3 linked regions of the Astyanax mexicanus genome follow. Each later gene encodes a partner of the first gene's protein in a complex. Links are inferred from orthologs where the notes say so. Each region holds a gene or a part of one and is shown on either strand. Other genes may lie near its edges. The genes, in order: ranbp9, gid4 and armc8.

Region 1 (7,664 bases):
CACAAACAAAAATGTTAAGAGACATTATTCCTTTGTGCTTCTATGCCCAGGACTGCGTGTCAACACAATGTATACTCCCGGCCTTTCCTGTATTGAGTTATTTTAGGTTCAAAACAATGGGATTGTACTGACCAAGTGGCCGAAGGTCACCTACCTGGAATTACTACATTAATGTCAAACCTGTTTACAGCAGCCTGCAGCCAATTGAAGGCAACATTATACCATAAATGTTTATGTAACTTGTGTTCTATTGAGGCAAAAACATCCCAGTATAGACGAGTAAACACAGGCTCACTTTAATCAACCCAGGGGAGCTAAATAAACTGCCTTAGCTTACATTTTTATGCGGCCTCACTTTCTGACTGACTGAGGTGAGGAAAATGGCTACAGCCCATTTGGCACTTGAGCGAGTGGAGGGGGGTAGCTGGGTTAGCTACATTAGTAAAAACTTGTTCAGCTGGTCAGTTGGTTATCTTGTTTGTTTGAGGCAAAATGGGGGCCCATACAGTTAGCCTGCTGGCTAATCCACTAGCCTGTCAGCAACACAGAAGCTGTGTCTCCTCGGCTCATAATAATAAAAACACATTATCGAGCGGTGAGCACAGTAGGGCCTTGCTGAGCTGCTGGGCTGCAGTGTTTAGTCAGGCAGCTAGATACATAACGTTACAGCGGATCAGCCGAGCTGACCAGGACTCTGACTGACAACAGGCAGCCTCTGACAAGCTCTTTAGCGAGCTCTAACAGCTGGGCAACGACACAGGGTGAAGACTAGGACACGAAACTGTCCTGAAAGTCGTCTAGCTCTTTTACAGAGAGCCGCTAACAGTTACTTCCGGACTTCATTGAAGAATGGGTCGAGTTAGCTCACTAGCAGCCTGGCTAGCTAATCTAAGCTAACTCTGAAAACTTGGAGGAGAAACTCCAGTAATCTCAAATTATCTTCACCGTCACTGTTCAAATTCAGGCTATACCCTCCTAACCAACAGTATTAACAGTGAGCGTGGTTAAATAAGGCGTTCACTGCGTAGCTTTTTGTGTCTGGTTTGTTTTGTACGTTAGCTAACCTAGTTAGCTTGCTTTTACCTACCAGGCTAGCTAGTCCTGTTTGTGACAAAGCTGTCAAACAGTTAACTACAAGACAGGATTCATTCACTCAAACCTGTTATATGTAGCGAATGCAACTAGCTAAGCTACACTTTTCACATGTCAAGCCCTTTTATACTAAAATTAGACTAAACTGGCCTGTGATTCAACAGTCAAACTAATTTTCTATATAATGTATAATGATTACTATAATGAAGCTAACTGACTAATGTTCAGTAGTAAAAATCTATAAAATAAATATCTAGAATATATTCTGTAGGCCTATCGTCACATTCCCTGGGAAACATAAGCTTAATTGACATTTGACTAGTCATACAGTATGCTACACAACTGATTTACATTGATTTTCACTCTTTCCTTTTTAGGTTTTATATTAATATTATTAGTGTTACTATTAAATCAAAACTCTAGTTATAGATATCTAACTTTTATTATAACTATACATTGTATACTAGTACAAATTGTAGCCCCATATGTTTAAACCCTGTAATTCAGATTAGTCCAAATAACCATTAATTAATTCTGATTAGCATCATATTTTTATTCAAGCCATCTTTAATTCATGTATTTTAATGGCAATGTGTATTTATGATGTGTATAGTATTACAGTCATTGAACATACATTCAGATATCTACATCAACAACAATATTGACATTTAAAACTTAGAATTCTTATTAGTCAGGGTGTATATGTCGAATTACAAGTTCTACTGGTAAAAAGTAACTGTAATAATTGTAGATATATATAATTGACGCTTTCACTAATACAAATGTACCGTTACAAGAGAGAGTGTGACATTGTATGTGCACAAAACATATGATCAGTGAAATTAACTAACTTACATTAGGGACTTGTGGTATATTAAACGTGATCGTTACATTAGACAGAATGGCTGAATTGATCTGTATATCTGATATTACTAGCTATTAATCTGAAATGCGAGTTTCTACTAGTGAAACCTGATTTGCGTAGTGAGTATTTACTAGGATACAGTGAGTAAGCTAAGACTGGTGTGATTTTGGGCTAAAACGTCTAAACTTAAAAAAAATCCTTTAGGCTTTACTTTCAATTACATCTTCGCTAACTATATTAATTAGCTACTGAACTAACTATCCCGCAATAACACCAGTCTGTAAAAACTGTTAAAACAAACGCTGGAGAGGAACTTGGTCCCATTTAGCTAGCTGACTTAGCTAACGCTAACTAGGTTAGCTAGCTTGCTAGCTGTTCCTCCAGTTAGGTAGCCCTGCTGCTTCAGCTGCTGCTGTTGTTTATGTTGTTGTTGATGTTGCTGCTGCAGTGTGGATTTACCTTTATAATGCACCCGGAGGTTGTTCTGAGACAGGCCGATGTAGCTAAACTTGTCCTTCGGGCTCCACGATCTTGGCAGCGGCGTTTCTTGTTCGTTGACGGCCGGGTAGAGGCGCCTGAGCCGCTGGTTCAGCTCCTTCTCCTGCTCGTTCAGAGCCAAGTCCCCGTGAACAACGACCGACATCAGAAACCCGCAGCCCGATGACGGTCCGGACATCTCGGCCAGATTCCTCCCTTCCACACCGACCGCTTACCAGCCAGCTACTCTCAGCTGGACAGCTCGCTATCCAGCAGCAGCCAGGGATCTGCTGCGTCTGCTGTCAGCCGCCACAACACGCCCGCTGGCCGTGGTTTCCGAGCGGTTTTGGGGGCTCCTCTCCCCGCTCCGCTAGCCCCGCTAGCCCGCTAGCTCCCACAGCTAGCTAGCTCAGCTAGCAGCGAGCAAACGGATCTCCGACAGCGGCTGGTAGGCGAAAGGACGGGGCAGCTCAGCGGATAACAGCGCAGTGCCGAGGAGACGGAAGCGATCAGATACCGAGCAGAGACTTTAATGTCGCCGTCCAGGCTGACATTCAGCTATTAGATGGCTGTTAATTAAGAGAAAGACATGGAGAAAGCGCAGTGGATGCCTGAGCCAGATCTTTTGTTTGTTGTTGGTGAGAAATCCGCTCCTCTGATTGGCTCTCGCTCAGTCCAGTCACACTTCTGGAGGAGTTGATAGAGGAGCAGGCTGTCAATAATATTACAGGCTCTCTTAACATCGCTTTAAAAGGTCATGAAGTTCAAAAAATTATATTAATATTCGATAATCAGAGTTTTTAAACTATTCATTTACTGGCAGTATTTTTCTAAATGCAGACACACGCTGACATTCAAGTTTTGAGTGTTTCTGTCGTTGTGGAGCATTTACAGCATTTTTAAATAATGAAATACAAATCGCCGTGCGAAGAACATTTTGCAGCCAAATGAGACATATCAACACCCTCCTACCATAACTTATTTTTTCAGGAAACATAAAAAACACATCACAGTTGTAATGGCTATTTAATAATGAGTGCAGTGGTTTAAGAGATTAGTTTATTATACAGTCAGTTTTTAAAATATTGATTAAAAAGACAGAAAACAGATAACATTTTAACAGACACAAAAATACAGACTAAAAAAAAAATCTAACTCAATAATAATACTAAACTACTATGCCATCTTTACAGCTTGTGGGCTTTATTAATATGAAGAAAATTTGATATTGAAGTAAAAATCTCATCAATTACTGACTGAATCACGTACCCAGAATAATGTAGTTATTGTAGATTTAGTTTAAAAAAATTAATAAAACATAAATAAATTAGCTAAAGTCACACTATTGACACACTAGGCCATTATCCTAAAGGGGTAGAATCAAAGGATCTGCTGAGTATGTAGATGATTTTACCACAGGTACCATGCAGCACTATGAGGAGATGATTTAGGCAAAAAAAAGGTGAATTATTTTAGGAAGGTGACGATATCATCATGAGATATTTACTTTCTAGGCACTCAAAGACACTTATAATTACATTCCACACACAATCACTTACACTGTTCAACACTCACCAGTGAGAAGTGCCAGCCAATTGGTACTCACAACCGGAAATCCACTTGGAGGGCTACATCGGCTACATCGAGTTTACCCAGCACAGAGTGCCAGTCCATATCTGGGCATACAGTCGTACATAAATAACAGACAAATTTAGGTTATCCATTTTTTTCTAGGCAATTATAAGTGCAACTAATTAACATGAGGAACCTGAGGAGACCCACACTGACACAAAGAGAACATGAAACCTTCACCCAGATAGGGACTTGAACACAGGACTCCAGCGCTGGAAGACAAACATACTAATCACTTGTCTCTTTTGTCCTATGAAAAGCTTCTTCCAGAGATTTGCACCTCCCACTAGTTTGTCTGCTCCAAAATCTTTCCAAAACCAAAATAACTGAAAGTTTCTGCTCAGCCCTCTAAAAAGCTGATTGGTCCTTTTCAGACTCTAGATCATTCTCTGACCTTTCACTTCCTGCTCTACTATCCTGCCATTCTCTAATTTATCTGAGAGCTCTGCATTTGTGTTCCCTTTCACAATTCTGAGTGAAATCCTTTTAGCCTCACTCAGCCCTCAGATTTTACAGGTATGGGAACCAGATAAAAATGCGATTCAGTAAGCCCTGTTGTTTACCACAGAGGACACTAAATAAAAGTGATTCATAAAATGTGGTTTGAAATAGTTAAAATTACAGTATGAAGTTAACAAAAATATTTAAAAAAACATTTTGATTATTAGCAGCAGAAACAATATCTGTAAAAACTGAAATTTTAAAAAGTAATTGTGCACTGTTTTGACACTATCAAAGAAAGCCTCACAAGAAAGCCCAGGATGTCCTCTGGTCTCAAAATTATTGTCCATTACAGTGATTTAAGAGAAACCTCTGAACTTCTAAAAATACAGAGGATAAAAATCCTATTTTACATTTTTATTTAAGGTATATAGCAGACAGCCTTATCCAGAGCAACTTAACTTTTTGACATAAAAGCTATATTCTCATGAGACGCAATATATTACATAAAGTACAACTTAGCGTGAATTGTATGCAGCCAAATTTCTCAGCACAATGCATGTTCTCATGTTTTTCTACTGTCCTTGTTTCGTACTTAAGTGTTCTCTATAAAGATACATACGCCTGCCACTAGTGATATGGGGAGTCCTAATGAGTGGGTTGGGTAATTGGCTGTGTAAATTGGAGAGAAAATGGGATAAAAATTTGAAATTAAATGTAAAAAAAGAATGTGTAACTGAATCAAGCATGTGGAAGAGTACTTTTTAGAAGTCTGTTGTGGTGCGGTTTCCTGTTAGAGCGGATGAATCTGGTCTCGTTTTTCTTGCCAGCTCTTTTCAGCTCTAATTCTGTGTTTCATTGATTAACCAGTGTGAGAATGAACAGACTGAGTTTGTATCAGCAACAATACCATCACCATGTTTGCTCAAGTAACCAGAAAAAAATCTATATATAATATATTTGGCTTGCAATGAGTTGTACTCCCAACCAAGGAGAACAACTGTTTTAAATAAATCTTAAGTACTGCTGCTTTAACTTAAAAATAAGTAAAGAAATAAAATAACTGAATGTTTATAGAAACTAGAAATTTGAATGTAAAATTATTTGAACAGATGGGAACATTTTCCAAACAGTTTGCAAACCAGAAATGAACCAAGAGTATACCAACTCATAGTCAAGTCCCATATAAATATACAATAAATACCTATTTTTATTTTATTTAAAGAATCATTCATTTTACAAATTGATGCCAATAGGTTTCAGGTTAAAGGCCTGCTAAGGTAGGCTAAATACTTTATTAGCATACTCATATGTGGCCAACATACAACATCTCTCCCTCATTGAAACAATGACTCACACAGATTTTTCCAGTGCACATATCTATATTATTTACATTGTCATTAATTAATTGTCTGGGAAATAAAAGAAACACAGGAAAAAAACAATACACAGACACTCTTGTAATTGAATATATTTGGTGGATTACAAAACTAAGTAAAAATATTTTCAAAAAGTTTCCTGACAAAGTCCAAGATCAGCTTAATCCCTTTCTGGGAAACTTTTCCTATACAAAATATTAGCAAGAGAACACCTTAATTGTTGGGAGCTCTGTTGTAATTATGCTCTTTAGCAGCTTAGGATAAATGATATTTAATGTTTTATAGTTATTGTGATATTGGTCTTTCCAATGCTGATCATGTGTCATGAGCATTCTGACCAGTTCTCAGATTCTCAGGTTTTTGATGAATCAAGGCATTAACCCGATACACCATTAGCCATGTTACATCAAGGGTCCATTAGTTCATCCCATCCAAGGCATAATCACAATTGCGATTTGGAATTTAATGCTAAAAAAACATGACAAACTTAACTTTTAATCTCAGTCATTAATTAACACACTTCTCTTTCCTTAAATAAAACAGAAAATACCAAAATTGAGTCCATAGATTTCCACAAACCTGTCGCACCACTGATGCATCCAGAATTCCTGTGGTGAGGTCACCAGTTTAGATAACAAGTTTGGGCAAATAGTCCACCTCCCATTGGTAGTCATGGCAGGACACAGTTCCAGAACTCATGGCACATGCACTGGCAAAGCCCGTACCCCATGATCACGAGCAGACTGACGGGCACCAGGCTGACCAGCAGCACGCCCGGCGTGGTCTTCTGCATGATGAGCAGGTAAACGCCTAGTGGTAGGGAGCTGAAGTAGAGAAGCCCAAGGAGCCACAGCAGGGCTCGGGCTGAGGTCTGACAAAGCAGGGCTGCGCAGTTCCACACTGTCCAGCGCCGGGTAACCGAGGCCATGGAGTCCAGACTGGATGAGTGATGATTCCTTCCAGCCCCGTTGGTACCCACCACCGGCTCCTGTGGAGGCTCCATGATGGTGATGACCACATAGTTGGAGCGTATGGACGAAGGTGAGGCTGATGCCGAGTGGCCCACTAGAGTGTTCAAGCATCTGGGGCTCAACAAGATCTCGCCCTGGTGGTTCTCCCGAAGGCTGGAATAAAAGCGGGTACGGATGGTTAATGCCGTCACAAGGTTGCAATCGTCCGGCAGACTTGCCACAGCCTCTCCAGGGAGTCCAGTAACATAGCGACAGAAAGGACAGACCACCCCATTCGGGGGTGAGTCTCCCAGATCAAGGATCTTGGTCAAACATTTGGCACACAAGCGATGGCAGCACTCAAGCACTTTAGGCCGTCGTCCAGACAGAGTGTAAGGGCAGTAGCAGATCTTGCACTCCAGTTCCTCGGCTCCAAAGCCTTCCAAAACCTCCTCTGGAAGCTGACCCATCATGCCTCTCTCCTCTCAGTGTTGTGGCAAGGGCTTGTTGTAGTAACAGACATGGTTGAGAGACTCTTGCTACACCACAGACAGGTTCCAGAGAGAGTGCCATGCAGGCTTGGGCAAACTGGAGCAGCGTCTGAGCGGCGCTGGACCCATTCGCACTGGACACTCTTTCCTGCACTCTGTGGAAGGGTGGGGAGAGGCTGCCAGAGAAAAGATAACTGTTAACACAGCACTAGAGAACAAACGCGACAGCAACAAAGCAGGCCCTGTAAAACCAGGGCTGGAATTTTCTAGCCAGACCTTTTGTTGCCAGTCAAATTCAGTCCAATTAGTGCCTCCATTCCTCTTTTCTGTGGTGCAC
Region 2 (7,815 bases), on another chromosome or scaffold:
TGTAAAAGTACAGTACTGTTGAAAGGCGGAACGGGAGCAGTGAGGTCTTCTTATAAGATCGGCGTGATTGCTTGATTCTCTCAACGATGAAAAGCTTCATCAAACCTGGTGAAAGTGCAAAGCATCTACCGCTCTGGCTTGATATAATTTGATATGGGTTTGAAATAATCCCTAACATTTTAATAATTGTAACAAGTAATGATGCAGCACATAAAAATGTACGAGAGTAAAAGTATTACACTTATGGAAAATATGTAATGCTAGTATAGTAAACGTAGAAGTAAGAGAACTAGGAAAAAAATAATACTCTATTAGAGAGATACAGCATTTTAGTACTTAAGTACAGTAGTGAAGTAAAAATAATACTCCAGCAGATACAGATACAGCATTTTAGTACTTAAATATAGTAGTAAAGTAATATTAATACTCCAGCAGATACAGATACAGCATTTTAGTACTTAAATATAGTAGTGAAGTAATATTAATACTCCAGCAGATACAGATACAGCATTTTAGTACTTAAGTACAGTAGTGAAGTTAAAATAATACTCCAGCAGATACAAATACAGCATTTTAGTACTTAAATACAGTAGTGAAGTAAAAATAATACTCCAGTAGATAGATACAGCATTGTAGTTCTTAAATACAGTAGTGAAGTAATATTAATATTCCAGCAGATACAGATACAGCATTTTAGTACTTAAATATAGTAGTGAAGTAAAAATAATAATCCAGTAGATAGATACAGCATTGTAGTTCTTAAATACAGTAGTGAAGTAATTTTAATACTCCAGCAGATACAGATACAGCATTTTAGTAACTACCTAAGTACGGTAGTTAGCCAGTTCTACTTCTATTAATATTATTACACCTCTGGATAGGACTTGAATAGTTAACTAGTGTGATTTTAGACTAAAACGGCTTCCCTTGTGTTGCACTGGCGCTGGAACATGCTTGACAGAGCTTCACTACTGCGTTACAGGCAGTAAATGTGGGGCAGAGCGGTAGCTAACGCTAGATAACATGTCTAAAGGAATACAGTCACCTGTGTGCCCAGCCAAATTTCACACAGAACACTTCAGGGGATAAAGGAGGTCCAAACACTGGCCTTGGTTTTAGATACATTAGGAACACATTACCTAGCTTAGGTACATACTGCCTGGAAAGAGCAGCTATCGCGTATCTTGTTAGCTAGGTAGGTTAGCTGCTGGGTTAGCTAATAAGTCATCGGTGCTACTCAGGTGGCTAGCTTACTAAACATACGGAGGACACATTAGCTACGTAGCTAGCTATCAATGCCCACAAAACGCATTAGCTAGCTAGGTTAACTGGCTAACTCTTAGCAAGTAGCCAGTTAGCTGCTAGCTATGTTTGTCGTTTAAATTAGCTTACCTGTCTAATGTAGTTAGCTTAGCTAGTCAGCGGTGTAGTTAACCGTATAAGCTAGTCAGGTTAACTAGGCTAGTTAGCTAACGTAAGCTAAATGACAAATCATACAGTCTTGTTTGAGTGAAATTAGCCACATAAGCTAGCTAAGCTAGCTAGCGTTAGTTTACATGAACTGTCAAACGTCACAGAGTGAAATAGTTATATTATTCTCAAAATATATATAACTATATTAAAGGAAAAATGATTAAATAAAAATAAATAAATGAGCAACAAAGGAAAACAGTAAACGTGGTGAGATTAATTTTAACTGATACCAGTGCAGTTTGTGGGAAGAAGTATCAATAACACTTTGTACATTAATAACACTGTTTATTAAAATTGAAATTTGGAGAATGTGATATGATATCATAATGGGATATAAGAGTCAGTGTAATGTTTACCAGCTCAATTTTCAATACAGAAAGTCGTGTGTAAAACTTTAGTAGCTTATATAAGTTACAAATATTATTTTGTTCCCTAGTTTAGTATAGCAACCTGAAGAATGTTCATGCCCCTCACAATCTAGCCGGGAAAATGAAAATAAAAGATTTACAATTTCGTAGCTAGCAAAAATAACATATCACCAGATTTTGGATACATGAAGAAACATGAAATTAAATTGTAAGGGGCATAAGTGAATGACAAACTTTTGAAAAATAGATGCACACCAAGTTCTTCTTTACTAGCTAGCTATACCAGCTAAAAAAAGAAAAAGAAAAAAAAACACTGACGGGTTAATTACATGCAATTTTCTGCTTATGAATTTTGTCTAAAATGTGAGAAAATTGAACTGAAACATTACACTGACAAGACTTAGGTTATATTGGTTATTACTTTTTACAGCTGGTATCACTAAAATGACGTCTCTAGGACTGAATGAGTAGACAGCAGACTCGAAAACATCCAAAATAAATAAATGAATAAAGCTTTGCTGGCTTTGCTTACAAAAAACACACTTTTTTTGAACTTCAGAATATTTACTGATTAAGGTAACTTATTTGAGGGGTAAATACCTAACTAGCTAGTTAGGTAACCTAAATAGTGTGAAGGGTACGTCTGCTACTAGTAAGCAAACAAGTGGCGGGTTAAACTAGCAAGCTAGCTACCTGGATCCAGCCCAAAAGCTAGGTAAGCTAAGATACTAAACAAACCAGCTGGTTTGCCAACTTGTGATTCAACTGAAGCCATTTAGTTCTAGCTAGTCACGTACCTGCAGAACCACTTCCACATCGTAAGAGTTGCCTTTGCTCTTCTGGTGGCCCCGAAACTGAGAGCCGCTGTACAGCAGGGAGGTGGCCACCCCGGGCTGCTGCGTGTTGATCGGCGGCGGCGGCACCAGAGAGGCCGAGGCTCCGCAGGCCGCAGGCGAACAGGAGCAGCACTCTGTACGGACCGGCATGTTGGAGACGCTTCAGCGGGCTGAACCCCGAGCGCAGGTGAGCTCACGACACACGGACCGGGTTCAAAACGAGAGGAGAGACGGGCACATTGGCGGCGGGTCGTGAGCCCACGGTCTCCGCTCCCGCTCCGCTCAACCTTTCGGCATCTGAGCCTGGGCTTCTCTTCACCGTGCGTCGTCAAAATCAGCACTGGGCTCTGATTGGATGGTGGAGTCGGACGTAGTCACGTATCGGCGGGACGCAACGGTCACGAGCGTTTGGGTGGAAGAGCATGCTGGGATTTGCAGGCTGTTCGTTAGCTAAAATTAATGAGTTTGGAGCTCTGATATAAACTCTTAATTAAAGTTGGATTTTTATTTAATTATAAAATCTACACAAACACGATTCTAAGAATCAGTCAAGAATGCAAAATCACATTTTATCACAGAAAATGAAAAAAAACCCTCAAAAGTACAATAAGTATTTTTTTCTGTAAAATTGCTGTTTAATGAATGTTTTCCAAGGTTAATGTAACTTAAAAAAAAATGACTGAATCTTACATATTTATCATGCATATGTAAAGCTGTAAAATGCTTTTCACAACCAGCGGCAGGGCCTGCAGCGTGTCAGTAAAATGCAACCTAATGTAAACAGACATGTAGGGAAATTAATGACCACTGACAAACAAATTTCATTACAGAGTAGAGTTAGTAGAGAGGTGTCCAGGAAAAAAGCTTAAGCAACATGTTGTGTATCATAATGCAGGGATTTGTAAGCAATATACTGCAATTACAATATATTGTATTTTCTATATAAGGTGTCAGTGCAAAACACCATCATATGCATGAAATCAAAATGAGTAAATTAAAACTTCACAGCTTATCAGACAACAGCACTCATTCACTTATTATGTTATACATGGACCTTACTGTTTACAATACTGTTTACAGACCATTTACCTGCTATACTGTTTACAGTGGACTGACACTTTACTTTACTTGCACGATACATATATACATAATGCATCATGCAATCATAAAAAAGTGCTATTAAACAACATATTTTAAAATTAAAATGAGCACATTATTATGATGCACATTGTGTTTTGTTTCCTTACTGAGCACTGACCTCATGAGCGGCGTATGTGGAACAGCTATTTAACAAGCATCATTTTGAGCGGATACACACACACACACACACACACACACTTGAGAAAGGGCCAATTATGTCCACTCCTTCTTCTCTCCTTCTTGTAGTATCAACCTCTCCCTGTAGGTGGGGTAAGTGTGCAAGAAATACACAAATCAAAAAAGCTACAAGATCAATTTTTTTTTTCGATAATAAAAAAAATAAATAAATAATAATAATAATAATACAAAACATGTACAAATAGTGTAATATGGCCTACATACATATATATATATATATATATATATTTTTTTTTTTATTATACTTCTGATCATTATTTAAAATAATGTGTTTTTGTGTTTTAAATCTATATTTTAAAATTAAATATTTGTAATCTCATCTAGTCAAATAAGAAATGTGTGTAACAGTTGTTAATTCTTCTTCATATGGCTTTCTAACATTCTGTAAGTTCGCTTATAAATACAAAAAAGGGTGAAAATGTCTTTAAAAGTCCCTGCTCATTGTTGCTCAGGCAAAATGATTTCATCCAGCTGGTTCCTCACATACTCAAGATAGTTACGGATCTCCGAGATACGCTTGCGATTCCGTGTCACCTCCTCATCCTGTACCTGTTAACATGAAACATTGTGCTTTTTTTTGGAGATATTGGACAAAGTCTAAATTATCATAGTACTGAATATACAATATTCTATTATATATATATATATATATATATATATATATATATATATATATATATATATATATATATATATACACATATATATACATATATATGTGTATATATACGTGTATATATATATATATATATATATATATATATATATATATATACGTATATATATATATATATATATATACGTATATATATGTATATATATATATATATATATATATACGTGTATATATATATGTATATATACGTATATATATATATATATATATATATATATATATATATATATATATACGTGTATATATATATATATATATATATATACACGTATATATATACATATATATGTGTATATATATATATATATATATATATATATATATATATATATATATATATTACAATTCATTATTTAATGTTAAAAAAAAAAATTCACAGTGACAATCCAAGCATGTTCCTCTTTAATATTGTTAATACATACTGTACCTATTGAAGTTAAAGGGTCATGTCAGTATAGGCGTGTCTTACCGACTTCATCATTGCACTCATCCAGCTATTGATCCGTGTCATAAGCTCATCCTCCCTGTTATCTATCTTCAGCTGGTGTGTGTCATGAGAGGCACTGACAGCTTTGACCACAGTGTCCTTATCTACTAAAAGCTAGAGGGCAGCACAGAGCAGAGCAGAGAACAGGTTCATCTGTTATAGTACAATATTTCTTGTGTAATGGGGTGTAAAAAAATGAAGCAATTTAATGGCGTTTTTAAGGCTACTGTAATCAATTATAATCTCAAATGAGTAGCAATAACATTAAAACCTGAGGCAAAGTAAAGTCAATGACATTTGACAATTATCTCACTACAATGGTATCTATCCAGCGCTGGGATATACAATACATAGGCAGCAAGTGAACAGTCAGCTCTTGAAGTTGATAAGAAGGGCAAAAAAAACGGGACTAGATGTGTGTTTCATGACTTTTGCCATGTCACACAGAACTTACCCATTATCAGGCCTCACACCAACTCAATGATAATTCACATTACCATGAGCACACTGGCCAGTGTTCAACCTTACTCATAACACCTCACAACATATACAGGTGTGGGTGTTACCAAGCCCTGCCTTAAGGTAACACTTCATGATCAATTTACATACTGCTATCCCATGATATTTCACATGCTGGTATAACGCTGGCTATATATTGGCTATACACTAAATTAGCCTGGTGCCATATTGTACAATGATTGTTAAATATCAACTAAATGACATCCAAACAAATTCATAATTAAATGTTTCTTACTGACCAAGTGCATGTCTTCAGGCATATCCTCCTCCAGTTCATTCCTTGCCATTTTCTCTAGCGTGGCCAAAGCAATCTCCTGTAGTTTCTCATGATAGTGCTTCTCCAGTTCTCTGCATTGTGCAAATGTGGGGCAGGGTTAAGGATGCTAATTTGAAAAATAAGCATTAGAGACATCATTCTCCATGACAGTGAATTTATACTCTATGACTTTATTACACTGTAAGAATTACTATTAGGTCACTACATCTAAAACAATGAAAACTGGCCTTGTTGCCCCCAGATTATACAAGTGGAGTGGTAAAATCCAGAAATCACAGGTGGCTCTGCACTGGTAAAGCAGTTAAAGGATATATCCCTTGCACATTTTCAATAAAGGCTCCAACCATGTCTGAGATGTTCCTCTCAAATTCTTTGAAGACATCCTGTGAAAAGAAAGTTACAAACAGTTACTTTACTTACTTTGCTTATAGTTAATTTATTGTTGTCTAAATCAGTTTATCATTTGTAATTTAAATAATTTTTCCCTGAGTGGTTAGACATACGTGAGGAAAAATGCCCACCAAAAGTGCACCCATCTTCACAGCGTACATCACAGCCCCAAGATCTAAACCCCTAGCTATTAATATTATTTACATTATTTCTATCTTATTATATTTTCTTTTATATGGCCAGCAATTTTAACGTAAACATATTACCTCTAGTTGGTCCACCAGCTGTAGCTCCAGGGTCATGAGAGTGTCAGACAGTTGGGAAATCTTCTCACTATAGTTATCTCTTTGGGCCTCCAACAGCTCTGGGTCAGTTATCTTCTGCATCTCTGCCATCACCTAGAATACAAACAGAATCAAACAGAGTTTGGATTTTATATTCTTGGGTTTTTACAAATCATGGCATGACAGCATTTTCACGTATTTACATCATTAAGGAACCAATAAATCCCTAAAAACCTGGCATCAATATGACACTATATTTGGGCCTGTTCACAATAAGCATTGTGATTGGATTACAACTGGACCAATTAAACCACATTCAAAGGTGGTCAGAGAAGGACCACAATTCACAATCAAAACATGATCAGATTCAGTGTGCTTGCCGGTAGATGAGAGGGGTGAAATTTGTTCCCTTGCACTTTAAATAGTCTGTTGAATAGAGCCCTAAAAAGAATGTGAGAACCATCTTGCAGAACCCAGATACTACAGGTGCAAACAGGCCTTTAGGTAAAATCCAGCTGCTATTAAAAGCAGTTCTAGTTAATATCATGGGTTGGTGTTTTACAAGGGTATTACATGTAATTTGTGTTGTTTGTATAATATGGTGTGTATGATACTGTACTTATAAATGAGCCGTTGTAGGCAAGGGCGTAGGAGCGGGCTTGATATTGGGGGGGGCATATTTGCCAATATAAACCCAAGCCCACCCTATAGTTTCCTAAAACAACATTAAAAGTAAATTAAATTTTGGGCGCCGAGTGGTCCAGCGGTCTAAGGCGCTGCCACTATGAGCAGGAGGTCGCAGGTTCGAACCCCAGCTCATGCAGCTTTGCCATCAAGCTGCCGGCGTCAGAGGGAGCAAAATTGGCCCTGCTCCCTCCGGGTGGGTAGATGGCGCTCTCTCCCCACATCACTCCTAGGGTGATGTCTGCAGCACAGGGCGTCTGTGAGCTGATGTTCCGGAGCCGAGCCGCTGTGCTTTCCTCCAAGCGCGCTGGCTGCTCGGTAATGCTGCATCAGCAGCAGCTCGAAAAGAAGCGGTGGCTGGCTTCACATGTATCGGAGGAAGCATGTGTTAGTCTTCACCCTCCTGGTGTGTTGGGGCATCACTAGTGATAGGGGGAGTCCTAATGAGTGGGTTGGGTAATTGGCCGTGTAAATTGGGGAGAA
Region 3 (7,738 bases), on another chromosome or scaffold:
TATGGGCCAAAAATCTCATTGTGAGATCCTACATCCATCATAAATTAGTCTTTAGTTTGTTTAAAACAACCAGACCAACGGATCTACCTGTGAGGTATGTTACCCTATCCCTTCCTCCACCTTAAAACACCTAAACTCCCCTCCCTAACACACAATGCAAGTAAGACAATATAATTAGTTCAGTATAAGTATAAAACATGGAATCATACGTATAAAATATGAGGAGCCCAGGGGTTGTTGGGTAATTAATTAAATGATTAAACACAGCTGTCCTTAATATTATATCTTGTTAATTAAATCTTGTTAAAATAAATGTACGTTTACAGCATTTAGCCGATGCTATCATCCAGAGTGACTTACAAGATTATTTCTATTACACAGGTGGGCCAATGTAGTGTTAGGAGTCTTGTCCAGGGACTCTTATTGGTGTAGCACAGCCTCCAGTCACCCAGACCTGGAATTGAACCCGTGTCTCCACAACAGTAGCTCACTATCAGGCGGTCGGGTTATCCACTGCACCACACCACCCACCATGCCACATAAATGACATTTATGTGCTTCTGCTACCATTCCTGCAAAGCCAAATATATTATTCCTGAACACAGTGTGTCTGGTAGGTCCCCAGGTCTTCTTCGGGTTATAACAGCTATTCCTGGTTACCTGAGCAACTATGCTGCTGATAATGGTGCTGATACAAGAGCTAGCTGGTGACCTAAAGAAGAGGGCAAAGGAATCCTTGCTAGAATTATTTTAATAGTATTTTTTATCATGCTTGGTGCAATTACACACCCTTATCAAAAACTTGAAAAATGTCACTGCGTTTTTGCAACAAGTATAGAGTACAAAGAAGAGAGTATTTCAAAACATAAAAACAATATATAAAAACAATATAAGTATCTGTGAATATAATGTGCTTTTATGAACACACCACAAGGCAGTCAATCAAAAAACACATTTCCATAATGCACAAATTTTATTTTTTGTGTTTTTTATGCTTTGTGTTATTACAATCCCAGGTTTTGACTACTGTTTGACTTCTTAATTCAATTCAAGTATTAAATGCAGCTGTTTGGCCAAGGAAACCTATCCATTGACCCTGCTCTGCCTTTTTACGTGACCTGCCATTTGTGGTAGAGTTGCTGTCGTTTCCAGTCACTCCCACTTCGTTATATTATTACTGAAAATTGACTGCGGAATAGTTAGTACAGGGATTCACGCTACAGACCTCAATCGCTACAAACCTCCAAACATCATGTGGCCTTCAGATTAGCTCAAGAAGAGTTGAAAGTAGAGAGCTTCATGAAATGGGTTTACGTGGCTGAGCAGCTGAATTCAATGCACAATGAATTAAACAAACAGTAGTCAAACACTGAAAGTTTAATAACAAAAACATTATTTAAAAACAAAAAAACAAACAAAAAAAGACTAGTTATATGCGAATGCATTTTGGAAACCGACATTAGAGTCGACATATTTTAAACCGATGCTTGATGTATATATTGTATTTATTTTTACTAGTTTAAATAGATCTTTAGTTTTACTTAACCTGTTCTCCAGGTGAGGACCAGGTAGCGCTTTCATTTTATTGTTTGCATAAAGTTGGGTTACAAGCTTAAAAAGTACTGCCTAGCAAGCCTGGGTGTTAACGGCTATAAGAGCAAGTTGCTATTTGCTGCATGCATGAGTTTCACTTACAGCTCTGGAAACAAATAAGAGACAACTTTGCTATTTATAGGTATATGTTTTGAGTAAAATGAACTTTGTTTTACTCTATAAACTACAGACAACATTTTTCCCAAATTCCAAATAAACATACTGTCATTTAGAGCATTTAAAATAGCTGAAATAAAAAAAGATGCAGAGCTTTTATACATCAAATAATGCAAAGATATTCACAATATTCACAAAGTTTAAGAGTTCAGAAAACAATATTCGGTGGAATCAATTAATTATTTAATCACAGTTTTCATGCATCTTGGCATGTTCTTCTCCACCAGTCTTTCACACTGCTTTTCTTTTTTTTTTTTTTTTACTTTGTAACGGTGCTATTACTGGTGTAACAATGCGTAGATGCGTCCAAAGCCAAATCAGACATAACGTAAATAGTAAATTCACTTTAAATAAAATTTTATACTTTAACAGCTTTTGTAACTTACTTAAGTTTTTGAGTTGAAGCTGCTAATTTTTTGACAGTATAGAACTCAACAAGACGGGGGCGTTTCCAGCGGCTAGCATGAGTTAGCCAATTAGCTTGGCAGTTTGACATGGCTAGCTAGCTAAGCTAGAGTTAGCTTTATGGTTGAAGTTTCACACAAGGTTAGCTAACTAACTAATTAGCTACCTCTCTATTGGCACATAATCAAACCAACATACATCTGCTAGTTAGCTATCTAGCTATATATAGGTTAGACCTGCCAGGCTTGTTAGCTAAAGCTGACAGCCTGGGATTCAGTAAACACAGTAGGGCTAGCTTGGCTACGTTAGCCTTAGCAAGTTAGACAGATAGAGGTTGATTAGAGCTAGCTAGCCGAGCAAATACAGGGCTAAACAGCAGCCCAGAAAGTCACCCAACTTCAGTGGCAGCTAGCTAAAGCTCCGGGTGTTTAGCCAGCGTTCTAACTAAACCCGAAATTAAGCACCTTTTCCAGGCAATAGACTAATAAACAAGCGGGCTCGCTCTGCTGGATGGAGTTAAACCAGCTGTCGGGCAGTGCAGGGCGCTGCGGGGCTCTGCAGGTCGGCTAGCCGGAGCTAACCCCAGCTCTCCCGGCTCTGTAGCGCCGCCGGTGAGTGAGTTAACTCCGCCTGACCGACCCGATCCACCCGCGGTGCTCCGCACAAACACGCTCAACTAATGCACTGCACTTCAGACCAAACACCGCACTAGGTTCCACGGCTCCGGTTGCAGGTGTGAGCCGCGGGACACGCGAAAAACAGCGGGGTTAGAGGAAGATTTAGGGGCTCGGACTTACGGACAGCACGCTGATGCGCAGCGGGGCCTCCAGCAGACACGCCATCTCTCTGTGTCCGAACAGCCGGGGAACACGAGCGGCACTTTCCACACACACACACCTGAGAGAGAGAGAGAGCCAGTCAAAATTTGGACACACCTCTTCTCATAAATTTTGTTTTATCTAATTAACGCTAATCACACGAACATCCTGTGATTAGACACCATTAATTACATCCTATCTTCCTTAAGAAAAGATTACGCTTTTGATAAACTGTATTTTAAACAAGAATCACTTTTAGAAACATGAAACATTTATGTTATTGGTGCCAGTCCCTTTCTTGTATTGATCACAACAATATTCTGTGATTAAATCACAGATGAAATCATGATTACATATTTTTAATACTGGTAGAAAAATATATTATAATACGGTAAAACAAAAATCAGATTTTATGTCCCCTTCCTAAAATTCCTTAAGGCTTTCATTTTATGAAGGGTTCTTTTTTTACTGTATTACAATATCTCAGGGTAGTTTTGCTTTTTAAACTACACTATTGTAACGAGCCGAGTTGCTGAGTTTAACTGGGATTTTGAATATAGAAAATATACGCTAGTTTACATCCATATTTCACATTGAACAGCTTGAAAAGAGGAAACGTGCCATCAGCTCTGTGTGCATGACTACGCGAGTGAGTGTGTGTAGGGGTGTGAGAAGAGAGAGAGAGAGAGACAGAGAGAGAGAGAGAGAGAGAGAGAGAGAGAGAGAGAGAGAGAGAGAGAGAGAGAGAGAGAACATAATTAATCTACATATTAATCTGTAAAGTAATGAATAAACTACATAGTTCCACGTGTTCCTGTATAGATTTAACGTCTATATTAAATTTACTTGTGTGTGTGTGGTACTGTATATAGTTTAACTGAAGCTTTTAATCACTGTTTTTGCTTATTATTATTTTATGCTTTATGAATCATTTTATTTCTTTGGGAAAGTTTTGTTACTGATACAAATTTAAAGGAAAGAAAACATAAACCGCTATTTTACTAAATGGTGCGCTATACGTGACTTATATTTTTACGAAAATAATTTTTGCATAGTGGAAAGTGCTGGTGGCTGGCAAAACTGGTTTTACCATGTAAAGTACAGCGAGTGCGCATGCGTGGCCGGTGAATAATGGAGGGTAAGTTGGATCACTGAGAGGGAAATATTGTTAAAGCAGCGGTTTAACGACTAAAATACAGGTGAGACTACACACACAGCTTTTTTGTTTTGATGGAATAATGTCAGAAATGTTGTTTGTGTGCTTGCAGTTTTAATTTAGCTGTATAATCTTCCATTTCGTGCCGTGTCGTGGGCTTCTGTTTCGAATTGTCCGGTCCACCTTAAATACTGCAGCCTTTACTGCCTGGCGTCTGTTCAGGCGCCAATACGTTAGCTAATACGTAATAAGTAATTTAAGGTGGAACGGATAATTCCGTTTTGTTGCAGTTATTCAGCTAACGTTACCTGATGAGCAGCGTCTATCACTTCTTAAACCCTAAAACTGACAAGTTAAAATATGTGAATAACCTGCTGAAGAAAAAAAGATAATCAACTCAAACTGGTCAAGCTGGTTGACTAGCTTAGCTAGATTCTGACCAGTACAGGGTTATGATTTATGTTTTAGTTTGATGGTTAACAGGCTTGTGTGGTTGTTGGACGTTCCTCCAGAGTCTAACTACCATTCTACTTAAAATGCATTTCTATTGATTTTATGCTATATCTGTATCTGTCCAATGTGTCCATGTGAAAACCCCCACCATGTTTAACATATTGGACTAATGTGACCTTTGTCCTGTCAATAGGTTCACTGGTCTGGATATGCACGACTCAGAGTTCCTGGATTTAATAAGACTCTGTCTGAAGAAGCACTTTTTCCTGTGTTAGCAATATTTATTTTTTTAAAACAAAATCTGGACTTTAACATCTACGGATATGAAAATAGCTGTTGAAGGCTGCTGCCATGGCGAACTGGACAAGATATACGAGACCATCAGCCACCTGGAGCGCAAGGAAGGCCTCAAGGTGGACCTGCTGCTGTGCTGTGGGGACTTCCAGGCTGTGCGGAATGAGGGGGACATGAAGTGTATGGCCGTGCCGACCAAGTACAGGCAGATGCAAACTTTTTACAAGTAAGATTTTACGTAGATGATCGATCTACTGCAGCTGTGTATGCTGCTGCATTTTTTGTTTAATATTTTCTATCTCATTCGCACTGTAAAAGGTATTATTCTGGAGAGAAGAAAGCACCTGTCCTGACTATCTTCATCGGGGGAAACCATGAAGCTTCAAACCATTTACAGGAGCTTCCCTATGGAGGGTGGGTCGCCCCCAATATTTACTATTTGGGTAAGAGTTTGTGTCTGTATTGCTGTATTGCCTATAAAGTAAAGTGCTAAACATTATAATAGAATGTTCTTTTGTCTGAGATCATTTAATATCTTTGATTAGATTTGAAGTATTTATGTATTAATTATCTGAGTGTTTTTTTACTTTTAGAAATTAGAAAATGTTAAATAAAAGCATGGACAATAGTGGGAATATTATCCATGTTCCTGTTAGTATAATGTATAAAGTTAACCTTTTTGGACTAAGTTACCCTATTTGGACTAATTGTAAGTTGCCCTAATTGGGCTAAGTTGCCCTAATTGGGCTAAGTTGCCCTAATTGGGCTAAGTTGCCCTATTTGGACTAAGTTACCCTATTTGGACTACTTGTAAGTTGCCCTAATTGGGCTAAGTTGCCCTAATTGGGCTAAAGTTGCCCTAATTGGGCTAAAGTTGCCCTAATTGGGCTAAGTTGCCCTGATTGGGCTAAGTTGCCCTAATTGGGCTAAGTTGCCCTAATTGGGCTAAGTTGCCCTAATTGGGCTAAGTTGCCCTAATTGGGCTAAGTTGCCCTATTTGGACTAAGTTACCCTATTTGGACTACTTGTAAGTTGCCCTAATTGGGCTAAGTTGCCCTAATTGGGCTAAGTTGCCCTAATTGGGCTAAGTTGCCCTAATTGGGCTAAGTTGCCCTAATTGGGCTAAGTTGCCCTATTTGGGCTAAGTTGCCCTATTTGGGCTAAGTTGCCCTATTTGGGCTAAGTTGCCCTATTTGGATAGGATAAATTTTACCTAGTCATTGAGGTATTGTAATTTTAATTTTAGTTCACATATTTTTTGACATACACTGCAGTTTTCTATAATATAAAAAAGCTATTGTTAAGAGTTTTGTGGACGCTGAGAACTCAGTCATTGTTAGGTGATGTTATCAGATTCCAGTTTTTCTCTTAGATCTTTATTCCAGTGATTTAAAGTGGGGTTGTATTGCTTGTTTTGCAGGTTATGCTGGTGTTGTTCGCTACAAAGGAATACGGATTGGTGGTCTTTCTGGAATTTTCAAATCCCATGATTACAGAAAAGGTAATGGCAGAGCATACTCCACACATTTAAGTAAAGATATATGACATTGCATAAATTGGACATTTATACTGAACCTGCTCATTAATCTGTTTCAGGACACTTTGAGTTTCCACCTTACAACCAAGAGACCCTGCGCAGTGTCTACCACATCAGGAACAGTGATGTTTTTAAGCTCAAACAGGTGAGCCGGACTGTGCTGGAGGCTGAAAGGGGTTTGAATATGTACCTGTTTGTGTTGCTTAAATTGAGTAAGAATCTAAATTAAAACGTGACAATAAACTGTATGCCCATAATATTAATTATTAGGCTTTTAGCTGAATCAGAACAAAATTGACACATATGGCATATCTTCAAACACCAAATACAGAACACGTTTTTTTGTCCGCAGATTTTTTTTAAAAATTGGCCACTTTTTTGTTTGCTATTGTGCTTCAAAAACATTTATTTTTAACAGCAGGTTCAACATAAAAAAGTAAATTATTTTGTTGCTCAATATTTCATACAACCCTAATGATTATACTCTACCAGCCAAAAGTATCTTACATACCTTCTCAATCAGTGTTTTTATTTGTTTTATTAGTTTTTTTTTTTTTTTTTTTTTTTTTACATTGTAAATTAATACTAAAGTCATCCAGACAATGAAGGAACACACAATCAATCATGTAGTAACTTAAAAAGTGATAAACAAACCAAAATACTCTGTGAAGCATTTTTTGGGTGCTCCATTACTCCATGTGTTAGTGCTTCTCAAATGTGAAATTGACAGCAATAAATCCATAATCTCTGGTATTTGCTTATATAGAAGTATTTAATTTTCTTCAGTAACACATATGTTGTGAAGTATCGTAGAGAATTGTGGGCAACATATCTTGATGTGATATATTGTATCATGAGATTCCCTGTAATTCCCAGCCCTAGTATATATCCTAACTATACTTTCAAACATGGGGATCTCAGACAATGTGCTGTCATGGTTTAGATCATACCTCACTGGGCGCTCGTTCAAGGTGTCGTGGCAAGGACAGCTGTCCTCAGCCCACTCCCTATCCACTGGGGTTCCCCAGGGTTCGGTACTGGGTCCCCTTCTCTTCTCAATATACACTGCCTCTCTTGGTCAGGTTATCCACTCACATGGCTTTTCCTACCATTGCTTTGCTGATGACACCCAGCTATACCTGTCATTCTCACCTGAAGATAACTCAATCTCTGCACGGATATCGTCGTGTCTCTCTGACATATCCTCTTGGATGAAGGAGCATCACCTTCAATTAAATCTCTCAAAGACTGAACTTCTGGTCATACCAGCAAAACCATCTTTTCAACACAACCTCTCTATAAGCA

What was found.
Region 2: the proteins of ranbp9 (region 1) and gid4 are in contact, whole or in part, in a cryo-EM structure (PDB 7NSC), measured with the Homo sapiens proteins. The link is inferred for Astyanax mexicanus from reciprocal best matches to the Homo sapiens genes RANBP9 and GID4. Residues at the interface, in NP_005484.2 of Homo sapiens: Ser223, Lys224, Gly225, Arg226, Asp227, Gly228, Tyr229, Met230, Gly256, Asp257, Thr274, Phe275, Thr276, Thr277; in NP_076957.3 of Homo sapiens: Leu187, Arg189, Asp194, Glu195, Asn216, Asp218.
Region 3: the proteins of ranbp9 (region 1) and armc8 are in contact, whole or in part, in a cryo-EM structure (PDB 7NSC), measured with the Homo sapiens proteins. The link is inferred for Astyanax mexicanus from reciprocal best matches to the Homo sapiens genes RANBP9 and ARMC8. Residues at the interface, in NP_005484.2 of Homo sapiens: Tyr271, Gly298, His299, Ser300, Leu301, Gly302, Ile303, Asp337, Asp340, Tyr341, Arg343, Glu344, Thr347; in NP_001350870.1 of Homo sapiens: Gln245, Arg246, Asp247, Val277, Leu278, Lys279, Ile317, Ile320, Thr321, Asp322, His323.

What each region holds. Positions count from the first base shown.
Region 1 is NC_064415.1:42,231,612-42,239,275, reverse strand, and holds the start of ranbp9 (ran-binding protein 9), read right to left. Parts: upstream 3,094-7,664; 5' UTR 2,634-3,093; coding exon 2,417-2,633; intron 1-2,416. Other genes in the region: E3 ubiquitin-protein ligase RNF182, read right to left, coding at 6,557-7,309. UniProt on the Homo sapiens protein: May act as scaffolding protein, and as adapter protein to couple membrane receptors to intracellular signaling pathways. Acts as a mediator of cell spreading and actin cytoskeleton rearrangement.
Region 2 is NC_064426.1:31,298,780-31,306,594, forward strand, and holds the start of gid4 (glucose-induced degradation protein 4 homolog), read right to left. Parts: upstream 3,023-7,815; 5' UTR 2,828-3,022; coding exon 2,639-2,827; intron 1-2,638. Other genes in the region: drc3 (dynein regulatory complex subunit 3), read right to left, coding at 4,454-4,564, 5,161-5,292, 5,937-6,058, 6,285-6,357, 6,631-6,762.
Region 3 is NC_064418.1:10,799,317-10,807,054, reverse strand, and holds the start of armc8 (armadillo repeat-containing protein 8), read right to left. Parts: upstream 3,079-7,738; 5' UTR 3,018-3,078; coding exon 2,973-3,017; intron 1-2,972. Other genes in the region: dbr1 (lariat debranching enzyme), read left to right, coding at 4,926-5,122, 5,215-5,339, 6,317-6,397, 6,493-6,578. UniProt on the Homo sapiens protein: Component of the CTLH E3 ubiquitin-protein ligase complex that selectively accepts ubiquitin from UBE2H and mediates ubiquitination and subsequent proteasomal degradation of the transcription factor HBP1.